2 linked regions of the Bombyx mori genome follow. The protein of the gene in region 1 interacts with the protein of each later gene in a biochemical or structural test. Links are inferred from orthologs where the notes say so. Each region holds a gene or a part of one and is shown on either strand. Other genes may lie near its edges.

The links.
Region 2: of the proteins of Per (region 1) and dbt, one has a biochemical effect on the other in vitro, tested with the Drosophila melanogaster proteins (4 studies listed by BioGRID, with this or other methods). The link is inferred for Bombyx mori from reciprocal best matches to the Drosophila melanogaster genes per and dco.

What each region holds. Positions count from the first base shown.
Region 1 is NC_085107.1:12,543,594-12,555,156, reverse strand, and holds part of Per (period), read left to right. Parts: intron 1-4,402; coding exon 4,403-4,497; intron 4,498-5,474; coding exon 5,475-5,552; intron 5,553-6,580; coding exon 6,581-6,712; intron 6,713-6,857; coding exon 6,858-6,933; intron 6,934-8,582; coding exon 8,583-8,786; intron 8,787-10,124; coding exon 10,125-10,353; intron 10,354-10,970; coding exon 10,971-11,082; intron 11,083-11,563. UniProt on the Drosophila melanogaster protein: Essential for biological clock functions. Determines the period length of circadian and ultradian rhythms; an increase in PER dosage leads to shortened circadian rhythms and a decrease leads to lengthened circadian rhythms.
Region 2 is NC_085123.1:7,353,388-7,364,950, forward strand, and holds the start of dbt (double-time protein), read left to right. Parts: upstream 1-1,067; 5' UTR 1,068-1,336; coding exon 1,337-1,412; intron 1,413-1,940; coding exon 1,941-2,051; intron 2,052-2,389; coding exon 2,390-2,582; intron 2,583-4,754; coding exon 4,755-4,897; intron 4,898-5,946; coding exon 5,947-6,149; intron 6,150-7,458; coding exon 7,459-7,618; intron 7,619-10,941; coding exon 10,942-11,022; intron 11,023-11,260; coding exon 11,261-11,319; 3' UTR 11,320-11,563. UniProt on the Drosophila melanogaster protein: Serine/threonine-protein kinase which is involved in the circadian rhythm pathway, viability and planar cell polarity.

The sequences.
Region 1 (11,563 bases):
AATAGATTAAATATTGTTTGTCTTTGTTAATATTTTTTATAGTGTAGTCTTGCCGAAATTTGTGATTATAGAAGTATAAAATACAATCTTAATAGTGTACAAACTTACAATTCCAGTTAATTATAGTCGAATTTCGACTAGTGCGGGACCACTAGTATAATAAATTATATTATAATGGAGATTCTATAAAATAGAAATTCGTTTTCATTCAAAGACTAACTTAACTAGACTTTAGTAACGTATTGGACAAAAGTATTTTTTTTTTTTGAATTAACTAATTCGATGCTTGAATAGGTTTGTCATCTTTTGTTCCCTAAAATCTATTATTGTTCATAATACAGTTCAAAGTTTAAAGACGGATTCAAACCGCTTTCATTTTGTTAAAAAAAAAACTGATTCGAATCAAAAAACAAAACAGTTTCGATTACATTATTCTAATATAAACCATCGGTCGGTATGTAACAATGGAAAGTGTATTTTGCGTCAACGATAAAAACGTTAAGCAATAAAACGTGAAAAGTTTTCGGGAATACAAAATTGTTTCCGTTTATTTATATTCTTTGTTACAAAATCACAAAGTCAAAACAAAACAAAACAAAAACGTTCTTAACAAAATACGGTCCGAAGCTGCTCAATCAAAATTCAGACTAATTAGAAAGCCGCGGTCTATACGCGTGTCTTGAACTAAACACGAGCTTGCTGAATTGCGTAAAGACGTCGCGTCATTACCGTTTCACTGGAATTTCAACTTGTAGACAGAACGTTACTGAATAAGGAAAATAAATTGGTTCGAAAGTCACTTGAAGCTGACAATGACGCCATCCTACATTTATTAGGGGTTAAAGTATGAAATTGTCGATTTGTAATGAGAAATTCAAAGGGTTTTTTTTTTTTAAATAATTATATTTATTTAATCAAAATATCTACCATTATTATCTATACATTGCTGCCATCTAATAGGAAGGTCATTTATGCCGTGAGTCCGCGCGTGTAGGTACCACCGCCCTGCCTATTTCTGCAGTGAAGCAGTAATGCGTTTCGGTTTGAAGGGTGGGGCAGCCGTTGTAACTACATTGAGATCTTAGAACTTATATCTCAAAGTGGGTGGCGCATTTACGTTGTAGATGTCCTTGGGCTCCAGTAACCACTTAACACCAGGTGGGCTGTGAGCTCGTCCACCCATCTAAGCAATAAAAAAAAAAAAAAAAAACTGGTGATCTAGATTCTACAAACTGTGTGAAAGCATTATGTACTGCCTCCTGTACTTTTTATTACGTAGCAAATTGTCCAAATCACGAAATAAATGGTAGTCCGTTGGAGCAAGGTCTGGCGAATACGCAGGGTGACCAATGGTTTCTAATTGAAGTTCCTGTAGAGTTAAAACGGTTCTCGTGCTATATGAGGTCTCGCGTTATCATGGAGCAATAATGGTGAGGACCGATTAATGTGTCGAGGCTGTTTCACTGCAAGTTTTGCTTTCATTGTTCAGAGTTCGGCACAGTAGACATCTGCCGTTATTGTTCGACCAGATCGGAGAAAGCTATAGTGAATAACACCATGCTGAAACCACCAAACAGTTACCATTACCTTTTTATTTTTGCGGCGTTTGACCTGGGGTCAGTTATTGCATTTTTCGCTTACGTTTATCGTAAAGAATCCACTTTTCATCACATGTCACAATTCGATACAATATTCCTTCATTTCTGTATCGATTCAACAAGGCAACACAAGTTTCAACACGCGTTTCTTTCTGCAGATCAGTCAAATCATGAGGCACCCATTTTTCATATTTTTTGTTATATTTTATTGATTTGACGCAAATGAGTCAATATTGTTGGCAAGGTAACGTTAAACTATGCCACCATTTTCCGCCATCTCTTTCAATACGTTGTTATTCACATGTGTGGGCGGTCTTCCACGTGGCTTGTTCTTCAAATCAAAATTTCCATCATGAAAGCGTATAAACCAAAACCGCACGGTGCGTTCATTAGCAGTCCTCTCCAAACGTAACACTGATATTGCGAGCTGTTTCTGCAGCGTTAGTTCCGCGTCGGAACACGTATTAAAAATCACTCGAATTTTCGAAGTATCCATATTTCTTGTCTAACCTGAATAAAAAAAATACAACTGAAAGTCGTTAATCCAATGTTGCACATTTTTTAAAAGAAGTACCTCATACCAGGTACCATTTGAAAAAAGTTTCACTCAAAAATCTCAAACCATGAAGGTTCTATGTTAATTCGAAGTACCTATTACAATTAAACGGCAATTTCATACTTTAACCTCTATTATTAATTTCTAAACTACATTGACGACTGATTGCTTTTGAATCGTTGATAGCATTGAACATTGGTTAATTGTTTGGTTAGAGATTTGTGTGGTCCGAAATTAAAGGGGGGTGTCAATAAATCGTTAATTGTTTAACTCATAAACTGTAACATATACTAACAGTTAGTTAAGAACTCATCTGCTTTGTCGCAGCTTCTATCTAATTTTCGTGACGTTATAGTTCCGTAACAGATTGTAAGTAGTTGATTTTTCTCTTAGGTTCCGAAACGTCGGCACATTTGTAATTAAACAATTATTATCGTTACAGAGGGTACGGGAAGGTCGAGTATTTGCGACTCAGTGTTTTATTCAATATAATATTAGACATGTTATTTAGGTACATCGCTTATGAAAAGGTAATGTGATCGTGATTGTGTCAGGACTGAATGGTATGTATAATGAGATTTGAACGGTTAGTTCATAATATTAAATATGTATAATATTCTTCAATAATGATTGAATAAAAACATATGGTTCATTCATAACACATATAACTTCTCATAATATGATTTAAAATAAATCAATTTGAAATGAATTGGAATTTCGAAATTTTAAAGCCTATTTGGTTTAAACAACTAAGTAACGTTGTACTTACCTCGACCGACTGTTGATGTGATATTAATGAATAAACTGTTGTTTTTGATAAGCATATGATAGTTTTATCCGTAAGAAGGTTGTTTCAAAATTAATTATAATCGAATATTTCGATAGGACACAATAATTTATAGTTTTCTTAATATTGAAATAAAAACCCTGTAATATTTTAGAACTGCATTCATTTCAATGTCGGCTTTTAAAAGTGATATAAAAACCAATCGAGTATATGACAATGGACGGCTACGAAGTTACGACACGTTTCCCAAGGATTGTGTTTGGAAATGAGATCACTATTGCCTGCACTTCCTACGCAGACAAAATAAGGAGAGTAAGGGAAGGTATCAAATAAGGAGGAGTACTGTTTCCTGGAATAACCTTGCGTCAGGATAAGGTGACTGCACATCTAACCGAAGCTATGGTGCCATACGTGAAGAACATATAACTCGGCCTGTTCTTACCCTACCGTCGGCTTAAGAAGCAACCCAGAGGAAATAAATTTGAAAACAATGGCGAGCTTTCTCTAGAAGCTTTTTCAAAAATCAATTCGTACGCAAGTGAACTGATGGTCTAAGTGAAATTATCGAAATATAAAGTAAATTATAATATCTAAAAAATATGTTTCAAGTCGATTATTATTAATTTTGAATCACCCTGTGTATGAAAGTATGGGATTATGTTTAGTTTTTACGAATTTTCTGACGTCTGAATGATTTGAAAGTTATTGCACTTTATGATCCGACTCGATGTATTTTAGAAGAAGAAAAAGAATATTTCTACAAATAGAGAGCCCCAGAGATTTACCCATATTATTAATTTTAATTCTGAAGGTATTATTGTAAATATTGTCCGGATTAAAAAGCAGCCCATATCACTCTTACTGTTCAGCATATATAAATAATCTATCTCACTTCAACAAGTAGTGTGTGTAGTGTAGTGTGAATTAGTATTGAAAATACTTACCTTGAAAACCAACTCCACGATAGAGATTCTCTGTCTCTGGCTACTAATTCTATTTAAAAATAAATTTCATCTTATTTAAATCGATCATTGTCGGATCTCATATCATAAACGAATACAGATAAGAATATAATAATTTAAATGACCACTAGGTAGTCATTTAACATTGACAATGTCAAATGATCACTAGGTAGTCATTGTCATGTTAAGCTTTTGATCTTGTTCTGTTTTCATATTTCAAAACATCTTAATTGTAATTTTCGTTTTAATTGTAAATTAATGTAATAAATAGGTATTTGAGTTTCATTCAGTAAAATGTGTGTTGTATAAAAATTAACAAAACTAATAAAATTATATCGATAAAAAAAATTAAGAAGTTTAGTACATATCTATAATATTTTTATTGTTAGACGGTATGCCTTAGGGGTGTTGTGTAGACAATGTTGATGTTAGAATAAACGATTGATGGTTACCGCATTGGTTCATGTTTATCTCCCTTTTTTATGTTTCCGCTGTGCAGTTACGAGCGCACCCTCTCCAGCGCATGTACAGGTCGAGAAGGGACCTGAGAATATGGATATAGCTTCAACAGACACTGAAGGCGACAAGGTAGAGGTAAGTTGACGATATAATAATATAATACATCCATCGATGCGAATGTTCTGAATTAGAAAATATTCCGACTACAAAATCAACAATTGCACACATCATCTTCATCTTGTGTCATTTAATTTTGTAAATGACCTTTACGTCACATTATTTATCCTCTCTTCCGCACAATAATTCTCTTTTATTATATAATTTCAGTTTTATGTTAATCTTTTTAATAAAAGAAAATATACTACTTATTTCTATACTGATACTATTCTATACTATTTCTACATTGTTTCGTTAAATTTCAAGAAATGTCATTGATAGAGTGTTTCAGTAAACAGTGGATCTTCGTTCTAATTAAGTTGGCCACCCCTGTTCTAGAATATTAGTTTAAAAGCTCGATGTCAGGTAAATCGATCGTGAATTTGAAATAATTAATTCTCCTTTTTTTAAATTTAAATTGCACGTAAGTCTTTTTCTAACAGTCGTTTTTATGATTATGATTACAACTTTTATTATTAAAGCAGGTTTCGATTTCCTAAGCAAATCTACACAGAACACTTAACGAAATCTTAGTCGTAGTTCGAAGGTGGGGCGGTGGCCTCGGTTACCACTCAACGCTAGGTTAGCCGTGGGTCTGCTAATCTACTGTAATAATAATAAGAATAATAATATAATAGACTTATTTTTTTAAATGTTTTTTTTTTAAATCTTTTTTTCAATGTTGTAAAACCAATAATATTTAAAATAAATATAGTATGTATGTATGAGAATAATAATAATACATAATATATAGGTAGTAATTACATTTTTATATTTCTACTTATAGTTTACATTTATTTACATAGGGTAATTGTACACAGGGATAGTGCCAATTCTCTTCTTTACTAGTCCTCCTCCTCCTTCAGTCGATCGCTCATTGCTCAGCATCGTGATGTGCTAAAAATAATGTAAAATACTTTGAACTACTAAAGCTAGTGACTTATTTTCTTACGCAGGTTTTATCGTGTGACCTGCAACCGCAGAACTCTACTGTCGATGTAGTTACGAGTCGTTCGAATCTAATCTGTTACACTGTAAGCAAACAATTTGTTTTTGTTTTTGTTTTTTCTTCTTCAATTTTTCGTCAAGACTGTGTATTTTTAAGATCTATAATATTATTTAAGGAAAGCGTACCTTTATAATGGTCACAAAGTAATTGCTTTAGCTCTGAACAAACTCTCAATAAATATGTGCTTGCAATGTATAGTGGACAAAAGTAAATGGCTAGTATCGGCTCGTGTAGCACGGGCTTAAGGCGACCTGTACAGTTTCTCGTCGGATCTTCTCAGTGGGTCGCGTTTTTGATCCCGTAGTAGATTCTGCGAAGCACTGCTCTTGATAGGGCCAGTGTCAGCAACACCTCCTTGCTTGAGCCCCGAGAGCTCACCTACACTCTAGGCTAACGCCGATGTAGCTTCTCAAGGCTATCAACATCGGTACAAAAAAAGCGACCTATAGTCATTTTGTGTTACGATATTTTCAAAGAATCGTAAAAACAACGAAGAAGCGTTCAAAACTAAACAAAGTTTTTGTTAATTTCTTATATTTTATTCTAACGTAGTAGTTCAGAAGGTGTATAATTGAGACCTTATATTTCTAAAGTCGATGTCGGCATTCACCTTGTAATGCCTTTGGGCTCCAGTAAACTATAGGGCTTGTACACATAACTGCGAATTCGCAACACACATAACCGCAACACGATTTCGCGCGGCAAGGATTTTCCTTTTCACAATTGACTTTCAATTCCACAATCCTTTAACAACGCAGGGATGCGCGATGCGAATCAGTTCGCAAGTTCTTGCGGTGCGTCGTGGGAGCTTGTAGATTTTTACGATGCGACGTCGCATCAAAGTTTTGTGTACAAGCCCTTACACCAGATGGGCCGATATCGTTCAGTCACACAGACAGTCACAGTGTCTGGAAGTCACTCGGATTCTGTTTAATTTTAATAGTTTATCATTAATAATGACTGCATGACGGCAACTTTTTTAAATTCTCGTATTTAAATTATTGTATTAAAAAGATTCTTGTTTCGATACTAATATACATTAATGAAATACAGGATGGATTTTCATGCGTTATATCGATGCACGATGGAATCGTAATGTACACGACATCATCGCTGACGGCTATACTCGGTTTCCCGAAGGACATGTGGATCGGGAGGTCATTTATCGATTTCGTTCATCCAAGGGTGAGTTTAAAATTTTATTAAATTTTTTCGAATAAATGCTACGTATCCTTTGTCGAAGAGTTTTAGACATATTTTTTTTAATTTTAATTTAATTCGCTTTTACACTGGCGACAAAAGGAATATAATAACGAAACGATATTTACAGGACCGTAGCACGTTCGCGTCACAGATAACCAGTGGTTTGGCCGTCCCGAAAACTGCAAACGGTACGCAAGAAAAAGGTAAAATCCTTATTAACGTTTATATCGGTGGTGCCGATGTTTGAGTTATGCGATTGCATGCTCCCTCCCGATCGCCGAGTTCGGATCGCTGTGCCAACGTAACATAGAGCTTCTCCATGTTCAATAACGAATGGATGTGTCTTTACATTCGAACACGATTCGATTCTTTATGGATCAACACTATGAATTATTTAAATTTCGAATTATTATGACACACTGTTTTTTTTTTTAACTGTATCTGTGTGTTACCGTGCTTAGTGTATGTAATCGTAAGTATTTTTGCGGTTTATTTAAAAATTAAACATGTTCTAACGATATCTATTTGTTGCCCTCAAAGTTTCTTATTTATTAATATATTTTAATATAGTTGGAAAAATACATTCTTACATTTCTCACTCTTGATTTCATTTCTACGGTTTCGATTGATCGACCTGTATTATGTACTTTTAGTATGGGGTGTTGTATTTTGCGGTAAGACCGTTTTTAGTTAAAAGTAAGAAAACTATGATCGATTAATTAATTGGCACCTGGATTAAAGTGGTGAAGGTGAAGAAACGAGCTAGTACTAAAAAAAAAAAAAGTACTTTTAGTAATTTTTATTTTATTAAATCATAGATATACTAAAAACTGCGGTGACCGACAGCATCGTTATAGTATATAAATATAAAGTTTTTTTGATAATTATCTTACTACATTACTTGTTGAGTTTGTTGCCATTGTCAATCAATTGAAAAAAAAATAGGATTGCGTTTTTAGAGGACGGAATTTTAGTTTTTTTGATGTGTAGAGGGTTTAGTATAAGCTTAAGTTCCAGTTTCTGGGGTCGCCACTCTTGCCATCCCGCCAAGACTTGGAAAAACGAGTGCAAAGGGTTTTTGCGCTGTATTTCGTAAACTAACAAACCCATAGAAAATTTAAAACAATTAGTTTCTGTAGGGTTGCTTGTTGATCTAGGGTTGCCACAAACTTCAACTTAAGCTTACACTAAACCTCCCTACACATAAAAAAATTAAATTGCGTCCTCTAAAAACGCACGCTAAAGCCCAAACAATTTAACATTTCAATGGACCAAGTATATTTTTTAATTATCTTTGTATTTGCCTGCGAAATTAACAAACAAAATTGATACGAGCTTGACTATTATGAGTTGGATCGAGACTCGCGCCTGAAAGTATTTTTCTTCTGAAGTTTAATTTAACTGTGAATTATTTTATGTTGTTTTTAAATTTTAGCTTAATAAGAATTAATCATTTCATTATTAGCTTTTTATGTTAGATTTAAATACATGTTACTTTTCAATCATTGTTATTAGATAGAAAGTATGATAGTTTTATTTGTATAGGACTATAAGGATTAGTTTAAGCGAATTATTACACGGGCTGGGGCTAAATATTAATTATAATCACAAACACAAAAAGGGTGAAGGACAAATGTTCACGATTGACTTCCACGGTGAAGGAATAACATCGTGTATAAAAATCAAACCCGCAAAATTATAATTTGCGTAATTACTGGTGGTAGGACCTGTTGTGAGTCCGCCCGGGTAGGTAGGTACCAACACCCTGCCTATTTCTGCCGTGAAGCTGTAATGCGTTTCGATAAATGTTTTAAAAAGTTTTCTTTAATATGAATTATTTCTTTCCGCGCAGCTCAATCGCCGGGTAATTCTGGATCGACTATGGTGTGTCGGATAAGACGTTACAGAGGTCTGAGCACGGGGTTCGGAGTTAAGGAAAGAGTGGTCACGTTCATGCCGTTCCTTTTGAAATTCACGTTCAAGAACATAAGCGATGAAGAGGGAAATGTCATCTACCTCGTCATACAGGCCACACCATTTTTTTCAGCGTTCAAAAGTTAGTGATAACCTTTTTTTTCTTTTTTCTTTTTGTTTGTATTATAAGAAAATTGAGTGCGTTCAAAAAGCGAGCAAATAGCGATTTGTACTAATAAAAATAAAAAAAAAACTTTAAGTAATGTCTGACTGTAACCTTGATAGTGTAACACGGATGGCAGCGGCTTGGCTCTGCCCCTGGCATTGCTGAAGTCCATGGGCGAAGGTAACTACTCACAGTCAGGTGGGCCGCATGCTCGTCTGCCTACAAGGGCAATAAAAGTAAAAACGATTTAAGGATTCACGGGAGCATCGGCAGCTGTGTTTTCTGAGTATTTTACCAGCGCACTGTGATCGTCAACCGGCGTTTACTGGTCGCAGGTTCAGTGATATAACAAATGAATTTAGATCTTCTAGCGTCAATAGTTAGGGTTGAAATTCGATCGGTGGGCATATAATAAATAAGTACTGCGCGCATTTAATTAATTCCCATACAAATATTTTCGTTATTATTAAACGAATATTATTTTTTTAATATTCATTTTTACAATAGTCAATTCACGACTTTGTTCCGCTTAAGTTAAAGTTGATTATCCAATACTAAAAAAATATCTGAAATCATTTCAAATCAAATCATTCAAATCAAATCATCAAATCATTCAAATTGAACCATATTCTTTCTAATGTCAAGGCATAAAAATAAAAGAAACGATCAAATTCAATTTTATATTTTCGCGTTAACGAATTTAAAGTTCGTTTTCGCTTGGCATGTAGAACCCGTACGGTCTAGTCGCGAAGCGGTCATTTATTCCGATCTGTAATAAATAGTGGGACGGCCATTATACATGGTTAGAACTACGATCTCATGCCTAAAGGCATGTGACGTCATTAACGCTCTGACGTCGGCGAGCTCCGGTAATCGCCTAACAGCAGGCTGGCCGTGAGCTCCTTCACCCTTAAGGGCAATAAAAAAAAAACTCAAGAGACAATTAGTATCTATTCAGGTAATGCTCGAATCAAGCCGATTTATTTGGACAGATGTCATTATCAGATTTTTGACCTTATAAGTATCAATCAGCCTGTGTCGTTTTTTTAAATTATTATCCGTTAATTCTTAGGGTTGCCAATCGAACAGAAAACGATCTCGCTCTGTTGATACCGTGTCCATTAGAGTTCTTGCCTCTTAATTGGACTTGTTTTATCGATACCGTGCTGTGTTGCGTAACATCACTATCGCATCGCGCAATACTTATTACGTCGTTCAGTGGACGACAATAGTCTAAGGACGCATTCAGTGTTCCATTTAAAATAGTTTCGTATTAGTGTTCATAATCATGTTAGTATTATTTTATTCTTCTAGCGTCGTTTGAAATATTACCGAAAGTTAATCCTTTCGTGATGCGTCACTCCGCGAATGGTAATCTCGAGTACTTAGACCCAGAATCTGTACCTTATCTCGGATATTTACCTCAAGATGTCCAAGACAAGGACGCATTGCAACTCTATCATCCGGAAGATTTGGAATACCTCCAGCAAGTATACGAGGTAATCGTTAAGGATGGTGGCATGCCGCGTTCCAAAACTTACAGGTAAATAAAAGAAACACAACACCGGTGTTATTAATAATTAAAGTATAAGTTCTAAATGTGATCAATGGTTAATGTAATTAGTCAGTGGTCGGTTAATTAGGTAGTATTATTTGATCAATGGGCATTGGCTTTCTTTTTTTATTTCTTTCATTTTAATAAAACCGTTTCGAAGAACGAATAGGCTTTTTTTATATTAAATTTTGTCATTTATTTTAGTTAAATATGACCTTTATTTGAAATGTCGTCGTGATTGGTTTTAAGAAACCCTATATATTATTTACTCTGTTGACGATTCAAATGACAGTCATATTATAAAACTATTGAAAACCTCCTAATAATTTTACTAATTTCAACCTACAACATGAAGGTAGTGATGATTCAAACACTGTTAACCCTTTGAGTGCGACTCGTCGTTATTTAGATTCTCTGTTAATCCGTTCAAAGTACGGAGCGTCGGAATAGCGACCATTTGCGCAGTATGATTATTGGTATTAGGTATTACGTTTTTAATAAACTAATAACATTTATAAATATCCATTTAAATTTATTTTAACAATAAATAAATAAAACATTGTGTCGAATACGTAAACAAATTCACTTCGGAAATATAATTTCAGAATGATGACACAAAACGGTGATTACATAAAAATCGAAACCGAATGGTCTTCGTTTATTAATCCTTGGTCGAAGAAGCTGGAATTCGTCATCGGGAAACATTACATCATTGAAGTGAGTGTCCACCATCGATCACTAGCTACCTCATTATCATCATCATAATGATCAGGCCACAAGAGTCCATTGCCGGATATTGGTCTCTCCCTTGAGCTCACTCTTCGGCTCTCCTCATCCATTTCTTGCCGGCCACTCTTCCAAGGACCAAGTCATTGCTCCACCTGGCGAAGGTCGTACCACATTACGTTTGCCGATACATTTCTATTGAGCTACGTTGATGAATACTTCTCAATCAAATAATCTTAGTCCAGATTCTATTCTTCAGAAAAGCCCCGAGCACGGGTCATTCGATAGTTTCCCAAGCGACTTTGAGCTCACGGACAAGCCGTACTGTGAGTGTTCACGTCTCTGCTTCGTAAGTCATAACCGGTAGGAAATATTGGTTGCAAACTTTCGTTTTCAGACAGTGTGGAATGGGCGACAAAAATACAACTTACATTGCCAAACGCTCCCCAGCTCAGCTGGAACTTCTTCTTAG
Region 2 (11,563 bases), on another chromosome or scaffold:
TGAAAATGGCGACACGTCCGTTACCTTTGCAATCGTCGGCGCAACTGGGCAAACGAATGTGTGGGAGACTACGCGAAGGTTCGAGGTTCGCACGCTTTGATGTCTGTTAAAAAACCGACACAGCTTGGAAAACCACGAATGCAGCGAAAACTTTGCATAATCATTTGCAAATGTCGTCCTACACTTGCGGGTTTGCGTATTCGTGCGCATGTGAGTGACCGGTGTTAGAATTTGCTTATTGCTATAGCAAGTACACAAGATAAGAACAATTATACCTAGACTCCGAATAACAAAAATATTTCCGAAAGATTCCCACTCTTATCAGATTCTCTAGCTCAGTGTTGTAGAAATTCTGATTCGTTTTTATTGAATCTTTTCCATTATATTTTACTGGAACAGGAACTCACACCTCTAATCGTTTTAAACGATTATTAAGTTATTGTCCTCAAGTCATAAATTCCGACGTGGTCATTCAAAATTCATCGCGCAAGCCAAGGTTTATCTAGTCTTAGAATTAATTTTCCTTCTTTTTTTGTTTCTTGAATTTTTTTGCTTACCTATTGACAATAGCGTCGTGGGGCAGTTCTGGCTTCACCGGGTGTACATAGCTCACGGAGTTCAGACTGAGAGACTTTACTAACACTGCCCTAGCAAGAGCAGTGTTTCGGATCTTTCACCGGATCCGAATTGCTCTTTTACTTCATTTGGTTCATTCAAAATTTTTTTACTCTTTTACTAAACGTTCTTTTACTTCATTAAACTTAAATGATCCTGTGTTTTACCAAATAAAGAGAAAAATATGCATAGATGTTAATGATTGAATATGTGTTGTGTTTATGTGAAGTTGTGTTTTTTTATCGACTAAATAAATTAGTCAAATTGAAAAAAAATTGTTAGGCATTTGAATATCATTTATAAAAGGCTTAATTTAATTCTGAATCTGTGTAGGTTGGTGTTGCCATAGAAACCCTGAATGGAAATTGGAATCTTCAATCAGTAATACATATCTGTTTAATCTGTGGATCCCATTCCAGCAGCAGCTCTATGTTCTATCTAAGTTTTGTTCAATTTACAAAAATTTGGTTCCTCGTCCATGTGTTTCTGCCTGTAGATAAGTCCAATTTGCAACTTATTTTAGTTAAAAATATAGATTTTTTTACAGAAAATTTACTAAGATAATCTCTACAACAGCTCAGATACAAACAAAATTACATCAGAATTCATGTTCAATTTAATTTTACTAGTTAACTTGTGCGTCTATCGCAATATGGCCGTCCTGTAATGAATTGGTGGTCAGTAATATTATTTGTGGTTCTATCTCTCTGCTAATATTAAAATGGAGCTTCGTGTCGGTAACAAATACCGACTTGGGCGAAAAATTGGCTCCGGATCTTTTGGAGATATATATTTAGGTAAGTAATTGGAGGGTTAATTGTAAACAAAGAAAATCGTAAATTGCTGCTCGGGCCAGCTGCGCCTAATCTTCGTTTCTACATAAGTTAAATAATGTTGAACATGAATAATTTGAACTATGGACTTCTTAATTTTTTTTCCATTGAAAGTCTGAATACAGAACTAAATATTTATGGACATTGATTGCATGTGATTACTGACTTCATAACGTAGATGTCTCTCTGAAGACTTAATTAACAGTAGTCGCCACGAACGGTTTCCAAGATGTTGGTTAGACGCTTGTTTTCGTATTACTTTTGAGTAACAGTATATATTAAAATTACCTGGTTGTAATTCGATAATTATGCTTCTGTTATATACTGTCTTATTAATGAATGGTATGTATGTATCATTTGTGTTATGAAATGGTACATTGTGCCCTTTTAACATGTCCCAATATTAACATTAAGCAGTAAATAATTATTGATTCTATTTTATGGGTGTTGTTATTTATATTATCAATCAATGTGAATAAAAATGGTTTTTAGGAACAAACATTGTCACAAGGGAAGAAGTAGCCATTAAGTTAGAATGTATCAAAACGAGACATCCACAGTTACACATAGAAAGCAAATTTTACAAACTAATGCAAGGAAGAGGTAAGAAATTTTCTTGATATGGTTGAGCTGATAAAGTAATTTTCAAATCACAAAAGTGTTTCTTTTAAAGACCTATGCAATAAACTATAGATCGAATAGCTCAGTTATTAGTTTTATATCTGTCAAGTTTCCAACTTATGCCATATAACCATAATTCCAAAACCCTGCTTAAAACTGGATCATTCATTTAAATGAATATGTATAAAGTTTTTGGATAGATAATTTGCACAGAGCTTTGCTCGTCATTAAAAGTAGTAGAAGTAGTGTTATTTTTGGTATTAACTTAAAAAAAGATAAAACTTGTTAATTTTGTTTTAAATTTTTATTAATACTTTCAGTTGGAATTCCTGCAATTAAATGGTGTGGGTCAGAGGGTGACTACAATGTAATGGTAATGGAACTGCTAGGTCCGTCATTGGAAGATCTCTTCAATTTTTGCTCACGTCGTTTTTCTCTCAAGACAGTACTCCTTCTAGCAGACCAACTAATTTCCCGCATTGAGGACATACACTACAGAAATTTTATCCATAGGTGAGTTTTAGTTTCTTAAACAGAGAAAAATATTAATTTAATCAAAATTATTATCATTATTTTACAAAAATACAGCTTGGTGATAATTTGGCATTAACTTTCAAATTAGATTGTGTTCATTTCATAGGCCATATTTGAATCTCAAAAATAAAACTAGTAAAACATAAAGTTATCCTTTTAGTGTGTGCAGAAAGCATCTCTTATTGTATACAGAAAATATGCATTATTTATTAAATTATTTAAAATTATTTCTTAAAGAAATAAGCAATGTTATTGTATCAAATTTAAAATACAAATTTAAAGAAAGTAAAACCTAAATTTAAAATAACATTTTTTAATAGAAGTTCCTAAATTGTGCCCATTTTGTTTGTGGGTGAGTGATCTTACAACTCTTAGTAAGTCAACCTGCTGCTTTTGGTGATTGTGTAATTTTGGTAACCTGAAGTGTGAAGACTCGTGTACTCCATGTGAACTCTGAGTCTCCATACAGGCCTTACACAGTGAAATTTCTGTAATGTCTATTTTGAACAATTTTTTATGTAAGGCTTGTGTCCAGTGATTGCACCAGCTACATCTCAATATTGCTCTCTTATATAAGGGGAATAGAGTGGGCTATGGCCCTTTTCCGTTACTCAAAAGCCCTGTGAGTCATCATCAGCCACATCATTATCTCGATTCACTAGGTCCTTTAATCCACTAAAAAGTAATATTTTTTAAGTTATGTACCTAACATAGTGGCTGATGTTGTTTGATAAGTGACATACATGGCTGATGTAATCCATTGCCTCTAGGACTGCTAGTGTATTCTTATTTTGTAACATTTTATTTGTTTAGCATCTAGGATTCTCATGCATTACTTTGCACACTGTTGTAGCCATCTAGTGGCTCATATAGTTTTCATAACCATATAGATAAACATATAGCTTTCAGAAAAATGCTCATCTTGTGCTTTGCTTGGTTTTTGAGCCATACATAAAACTAGGTGGGTAGCCGAATCTTGCTGTGATTAATCACATTTAGTAAGATGGGATTCTATAAATCAAAATTAAATTACTTCTAGTAACTGCAGCTACTATTGGTATTTTGCTGTTTATCCTATCCACAATTTTAGTAGGAGCAGTAGTTATTTTAGCGCAGATTGCATTGATGAAATATTTAAATATCTCCTAGTGCAGCAATGGAAATTGTTTTGAATACATAATGTTATGTTCATATATGCAAATATGCCTGAATTTGGTTTTATTAATTTTAAATATGGCCACCATAGCCATTCATCACATATTATTAAGGGCAATTGCCTACCAAGGACAAAAATCAACATTTTAGGCAATTTTTCTTCGTTTCCAAACAGTGACATAAATAATTCTATTACAATCGATTACTACAGTCAAAAAGTCTTGAAATTAAATACCTAGCTCCTCAAATAGTAAGATAAGAATTGGGAACATTTCTGAACCCTAAATAAAATATATTTGCCAGGCTATGTATAAATATACTCTTCCTTGTAGGAAGTTTATCCTTTGTGAATTTACAAGTGCATGTTGGGTGATGATGAACTAGAGTTTCTAAAAAAATCCATTATTTTGTGAAACAATAAAATAGTGCTATGATATGTTTAGAAAATAGCCCATAAAATCTCTTAGTCCAATCATACAAGTTCTTTCTCAAAGTCAACAATACAATGAGTTTTAATTCTAAGGTAATAGAAATTAATAAATCAAGGGTTAAAATAGTCTATAAACATGTCAAAGTTAGATTACAACTGATTTGATTGTAGTTTCTATGACAAATTTTGTATTTGCATATGATAAACACTGAAATCATTCATTCTGTTTGCTTTGTCATTAGAATTATGAGATAGTGTTGTACTTTGGGTCAATTTGCAGAGTTAAAATAAAAAGGAGTACCAGTTTACATTTATAATTTTTTGTTATCTTAATTTCTCTTTAAGTTTTTTTTTTTTAATTTATAAAGATTATTGAAAAAGTCAAAACAATTACAAAACATTTAGAAGTCAAATGATTTAAAAGTAATTATAGAGACCTACAATATAAATCAAGAAAGAGATTGCTCTTGAACTCTGTTATTCTCTGTGTAATCTAGTATAGATTACATAATATAAGGTACTGTGTGTTTTACAGGTAATGTGTACAAATAAAATTCTATTTACAGAGACATCAAACCTGACAATTTTCTAATGGGCCTAGGTAAAAAAGGAAATTTAGTGTATATAATAGATTTTGGCTTAGCTAAGAAGTACAAAGATCCTCGGACTAATCAACATATACCTTACAGAGAAAACAAAAATTTGACAGGTATGCATTTTTAATTTATTGTTGTGTGATTCAATAATTATTTTGATCACTTATTGTGTTATACTATAATTCATGCTGTCATTTATTATGTGATAAATAACCCTTTAAGGAAAAATTTTAGTTACAGTCTTCCTTTAACACAGTTATTTTAACATAATCCTCAACAAAATTTTAAATAAAATTGTTTTCTATTGCAGTTTCTATGATATTTTTACCGATAGGTGCACAACCTTTTATCTCATCATTCAAAACAAATCATCAATAGTTAGATATAGTTATGGAATAAATAATAACATTATTATTGTTATTGGTTGGAAATTGGCAATATCAAAGAACATACAGCATACATACAGCATTAGGGATCCTAAAAACTTATATGACCTCTATATTTAACTAACAAACTGATTGTAATTTAATTCATATAATTGTGCAGTGCATGTTTTTATCACTGTATAATAAAGTTATAGATCCTACTTATAAAAAGGAATTGCTACAAAACATGTCATCTAAATTGCATAAAATATAAATAGAATTCTGTTCCTTACAGTACCATTATCTGATATGAGCTATTGATTTATAGTATTGATAATATTATTCAATACAGTAAACAAGTATGTAATTCAAATGTGAGTAAAATTACACTGAATATAAATTATATAAATGCTGAATGAAGTCAAGTAATTATTGGAATTGATTGATGTGAATGCCTCCTTCTTGAGACATGAGTCCATCTTTACTGTAGAATATGCCACTATATACTAATTAGTTTTTTTTTTATTGCCCTTGTAGGCAGAAAAGCATACCTGATGGTGAGTGGTTACCGTCGCCCACCAGGGGCAGGCAGAGCCAAGCCGCTGCCTATCAAAACACATAATTGTTACGAATATAATTTTGAAGCTATCCTTTCATATTATTTTATGTATAACTAGCATTGATGTATATTCAATACTCTATCTCATGTCCTTTTTATTGAATGTACTAATGTCTATATTTCCAGAAGCAAATATATATATTATTTAATTTTTTTTTCCTTAAATGAATTATTTCAGGAACAGCAAGATATGCTTCAATAAATACACATTTAGGAATTGAGCAGTCACGTCGAGATGATCTAGAGTCACTGGGCTATGTGCTCATGTACTTTAACCGTGGTAGTTTACCATGGCAGGGGCTAAAAGCAGCAACAAAACGTCAAAAATATGAAAGAATATCTGAAAAGAAACTGTCCACTCCTTTTGATGAGCTTTGTAAGGTAAGAATGTATACTTTATCATCATGTCGTGTATCATATATTCATATCATGTATTATATTCATGAAAGCTGAAATTGAAATGCTTATAAGGTTTCACTCTGTGGTTAATTTTTTTTTTATCGCTTAGGTGGGTGGACGAGCTCACAGCCCACCTGGTGTTAAGTGGTTACTGGAGCCCATAGACATCTACAACGTAAATGCGCCACCCACCTTGAGATATAAGTTCTAAGGTCTCAAGTATAGTTACAACGGCTGCTCCACCCTTCAAACCGAAACGCATTACTGCTTCACGGCATAAAATAGGCAGGGTGGTGATACCTACCCGCGCGGACTCACAAGAGGTCCTACCATCAATAATTACGCAAATTATAATTTTGCGGGTTTGATTTTTATTACACGATGTTATTCCTTCACTGTGGAAGTCAATCGTGAACATTTGTTGAGTACGTATTTCATTAGAAAAATTGGTACCCACCTGAGATTCGAACACCGGTGCATCGCTCAACACGAATGCATCGAACGTCTTATCATTTAGGCCGCGACGACTTTTAATTACGATGACGTATTAACGACGGCTAATGAATATAACTTGCTATATTATTCTTAATCCTATTTTTTTTATTGAGAAACGAAACTGTAAAATATTGTTTATGGTACATAAGTACAAGGAATGGTTCCCAGAGTACAAAAGGGAATAATATTTATAATAAAGAATTATTTGCATCATTCACTGAGTTAGTTCTAATTTTGACATATACTGTTAAAATAACACCCTTTCTTTTACTTTTATGTACCATAATTAAAAACGGATGGGGCAACTGTTTTCCTAATAGTATACTGTTTACTTTAATTCACTTTTACAATTTTACCTTATGTCCTGCGAAAACAATTGTTAAGCTACGAAACTAAAGCCATAATTAAGACTGGTCTTAATTTTTCAATGATGTTGTACAATAAACGCTAGCCAAAATTATAAATAGAGGTCATTTACAGTCAAAATTGTTACAGTAGGTAAAACTGCATGAGTAGATTCCAGCATACCCAATTTGCCATAAAACAGACACATTTCAGTTTGAAGGGTGGGATAGCTGTTATACAATACAATTGAAAATTTAATCCCAAGTCAGGGTGTGTGGCAGTTTTAATGGCTCTGGTAACAGAAGGGACTTAGAATTCGTTCATCAATAAAGTCTAATAAAAAAATGTAATTATTTTAATGTACTTTAATATACTTAATATACTATTGTGATGTGAGGTGAAGAATTGTGCATTGATTTGTGAGTCTCATTTTTTATTTTTTTATTTAAAGAACCATCCAATTGAGTTTCAACTGTATTTGAAGTACTGCCGGCGACTTCGTTTCGAGGAGAGACCCGACTACGCCCATCTGCGTCAGTTGTTTCGCACCCTCTTCCACCGGCAAGGATTTACATATGACTACGTGTTTGATTGGAACATGTTAAAGTTTGGTATGTACTTTTATACTTTCGCTGTGTTATGACGGCTTTTCAATAGACCACCCCATCTCGATCCTCACGTGGCATAAATGACGACTAAGGGTTAATTTGGAAACATTCTCCAATTCAACCTCCAGCAGCGTTCTCTGAGAATTCATCACCGTACTGCGATCGCCAAACGATATTAAATGGTAGTAGTGCGTATTATAAGTCCATAAGAGTAGATACCACAGTCCTGCACATTTCCGTCGCGGCGCATTCGTGCATTATGGCTTGAAGGCTTGGACAGCCTTTATACAATAAAATTACGTCTGACTTGGATCAAGGTTCACTTACACCAGGTAGGTTCTGAGCTCGCATACCTTGCTAAGCAATAAAGAAATAATTAAAAAGTATACCAAGATTACAAAATGTCAGATAAAAAATTTAAGCTGCATTTACACAGGTGGCTTAGCTAAAAATATAATAATATTGTAAGGAAAACTTTATTAAAAATGTTAGCATATTGTTATGACCGCCTGACGGTGGATACAAATATAAACTCAACTACAAAGTTATAACTGTTTATTACAAGATATATAAAAAAAATATTAATTAATTTATCTCAAAAAAAGTTATTAATTGAATTAAAAGAAATACTCTAGTGATGACTACTTGCGGGGAGTGGATTCGCGGCACAGGGAAGATTTTTGGTCTTCAAAAAAGATCTATGTGCACTGGGAACTTATCTTTGGACCGTTAGATCCCGTGACACGTGGGGGTCTTCGCTGAGGAAGTTTCCACTGCCTAATGGGGAACTCGGAGGTGTTGCCTGAACGTCTACAATCCGTACTTGGACGTTCAGCCCGTATTTCGCAATCTTTACGGTGGACCCTCAATTTACAAGGGGGTTGAAGAATCCGTTTTTAATTTTCGTGTTTATTTTAGTGTAGCACTGATTGTACTACTTTTTAAAATGAGATCAAATAATCGCCAATACGGATCACTTATAATTGTCGTGCGAACTCTCTGGCGTCGAAATCCCTTCCTCCTGCGCGAATTCGTTTTTATATTATGTTTGTATCGGAACGGCCTACTTCCTTCCCTGTGGCGACAATGCGCACTGAGCGGACTTCTAGATCTTTCGTATAAGACGAGATAGAAATATGGAAAGAACGGCTCAACCGAAGCAAGTCACGCCCTAAATTATTGTCTATATTCCAGAAAACTCCTGTGGTACTTAGATAGCAATAGTCGAGTCGAGCGAAATGGAATCATTCACAAGCAACGGGTCAACCCTTGTTCGCTTTTTTTTTTTCGATATTTCTAGGCACTTACGTTGTGGGCGTTTGTTATCCGATGTTCTAGAAGGAATTTGATTTCCGGTACCAACGAATTCCTTATATGGCCACTAGTTAAAGGGCGCGGTTTTCATTCATTGTAGAAACTACACTCGCGAGCAAAAGTTTGGAATCACTTACTTGAAATTGATTCCGCGCGATCTTGTGTACTAAATATTTTTTTGATAATCATAAAAATGAGATCATTTTAAAGGTTGAACTCTTAACTTTAAACTGATACCAAATTCATTCAAATCGAGCCAGTAGTTAAGGAGCTATTCCGGATTAAGTGAAGGAGGTAGGAAACAAAGGAAATATGGAAAAATAATGAATGCATAAAACAACAAAAATTAATAAATAAAAATTTTATTTAGCCTTAAAATTAAATGTCAGTACTTTGTGTTCCCTTCCCTTGCCCTAATAACTCCTCGAAGACGATTCTTCATAGACCTGATCAGCTTTTGAATTGATTCTTGTGGGATACCTTCCCACTTCTCAATCAACGCCGATTTCAGCTCATTCAGGCATGAAGGAGCAGAAGTTCTGGAACGAACCCTATTCTTCAGTTCATCCCACACGTGCTGAATAGGATTCAAGTCAGGGCTGAGCGCAGGCCAGTCCAATGTGGCGATATAGACTTCTTCGAAGTATTCAGTTGTTCCACGGGCAGTGTGACAACGAGCGTTATCGTGCTTAAGGAGGAAGCTATCACCGGCATATCCCGCATAGGGAACGACATGTTCCAGCAGAATATTGGAAATGTACCGGTCCGAAGTTGACCGCCTCCTCGTCCCCCGCCAGGCACGAAAACAAGCTCGGTTTTACCGTCGAAGGAAATGCCGGCCCACATCATACAAGAGCCGACCCCATAAGCCACTGTTTCAGCGAAACAGCACTGCGCAAATCGCTTCCCAGGCCGCCTGTAGACCCAACCTCTTCGGTCGCTACCATGCAAACACATCCTGCTCTCGTCGGAGAACAGGATTTGCCTCCATTGCTCAACCTCTCAATTAAGATTGGTACGAGCAAATTGAAGGCGTGCTTGTCGATGAGCTACCGTGAGTTTCGGGCCTGTGACAGGCCTTTTTGGAGTCAGATTCGCTTGCTTGAGTCGTCGACGAACTGTCTACTTGCTAGCTGCTACCCTACGAACATCTCGGAGCTCCTGTTGGACGTCGACACCAGGTTAATGCCGATTTCGGAGAGAGGTTAACACGATAAAACGGTCATTCCTCTCCGATGTGCCCCGGCGCCGTCCAGATCTTGGTCTCGGGATAAAGCTACCAGTCTCTTGAAAGCGCTTGCAAACTTTTGAAACACAGGAATGGCTTATTTGGAGCCGACGAGCGACAATCCGCTGGCTGAGCTCTTCTTGCAATAGGGCTACGATTTGTGCTACTTCTGTAGGTGTTGTCCCAATTGTCGTACAAGGTAAAGGGTCAAAAGTAGCCGAGATATGTACCAGTCAACGTGTGAAAGTCGACTGATAAAGAAAATCCGATAACAGGTGCTTTTATAGGGGTCAGTAGGCCGCAACTCGCGACGTATCAAGCAATTGAAACACGTCTTTTTCGTTATTCCTTCACTTAATCCAAGATAACTTCTTAAATACTGGCTTGATTTTAATGAATTTGGTATCAGTTTAAAGTTAGGAATTCAACCTTTAAAATGATCTCATTTTTATGATTATCAAAAAAATATTTAGTACACAAGATCGCGCGGAATCAATTTCAAGTAAGTGATTCCAAACTTTTGCTCGCGAGTGTAGTTATTTTGTTTGTTTGCGCGTAATGATTTTTTTAATTAATTTTATATTTTTAGAATTTTGTTACGACGTTACAATATTCTAAAACGAGTCTTTTACAATACCAGTTTTTCTTACATTATAGAAGTAGTTAATTACATGTAGTTAGTAGTTATAAATGTTAAAATTGTTTGAAATGATATCCAGTATTATAGCAAATACAGACTCTAAGGTATAACGTATAACTTTCTAACTATATAACTATTCTATAGGAGGACTGCGTGATAACCATCAAACAAGTGGTATTGATCGCGCTCTTAGACGTCTTGAACAAAATCAGGAACAAGAAAATAGTAAGTATTAATATTTCTTGAAATCAGATCTTGTATATATAATTCTTAAAATGTATATATTGGTTTTTGTTCTCATTGATCATTTAGTTGTTTTTCCCACAAAATTTAGAAAAAAATGTAGTATCTTTAGCTTAGGTTTTCAAGATTATTATTCTTGTGTGTTCCGCGTCATTGGAAATATTTTATCATCCTTAGGAATACGTCCAGCCCTTATTTCTATAATAATTTTCTTTTTTAGCCGCTGCGACAGCCGGCCAGCCCAGTAATGCAGTGGCAGCAATTTCGGAATGGCGGTGAGGAGAGATACCGCTGACTTCACGCTGATAACATCTCTCTAAAAGCACGTTGGTATTTGTGACCAGTATGTTCTGTGTCGCAGAATGTACCTTACACAGACATAATTGTGACAATGAAAGTATAAGGACGCCTCTGCAGATGATCAGTACGGCAGGACTTGAGGCGTGAGCGTGAACTTCGACTACACATTCGCGATTTTGAAAGCGAATCTTTATATTAATTAATAAATAAATAAAAAGATAAA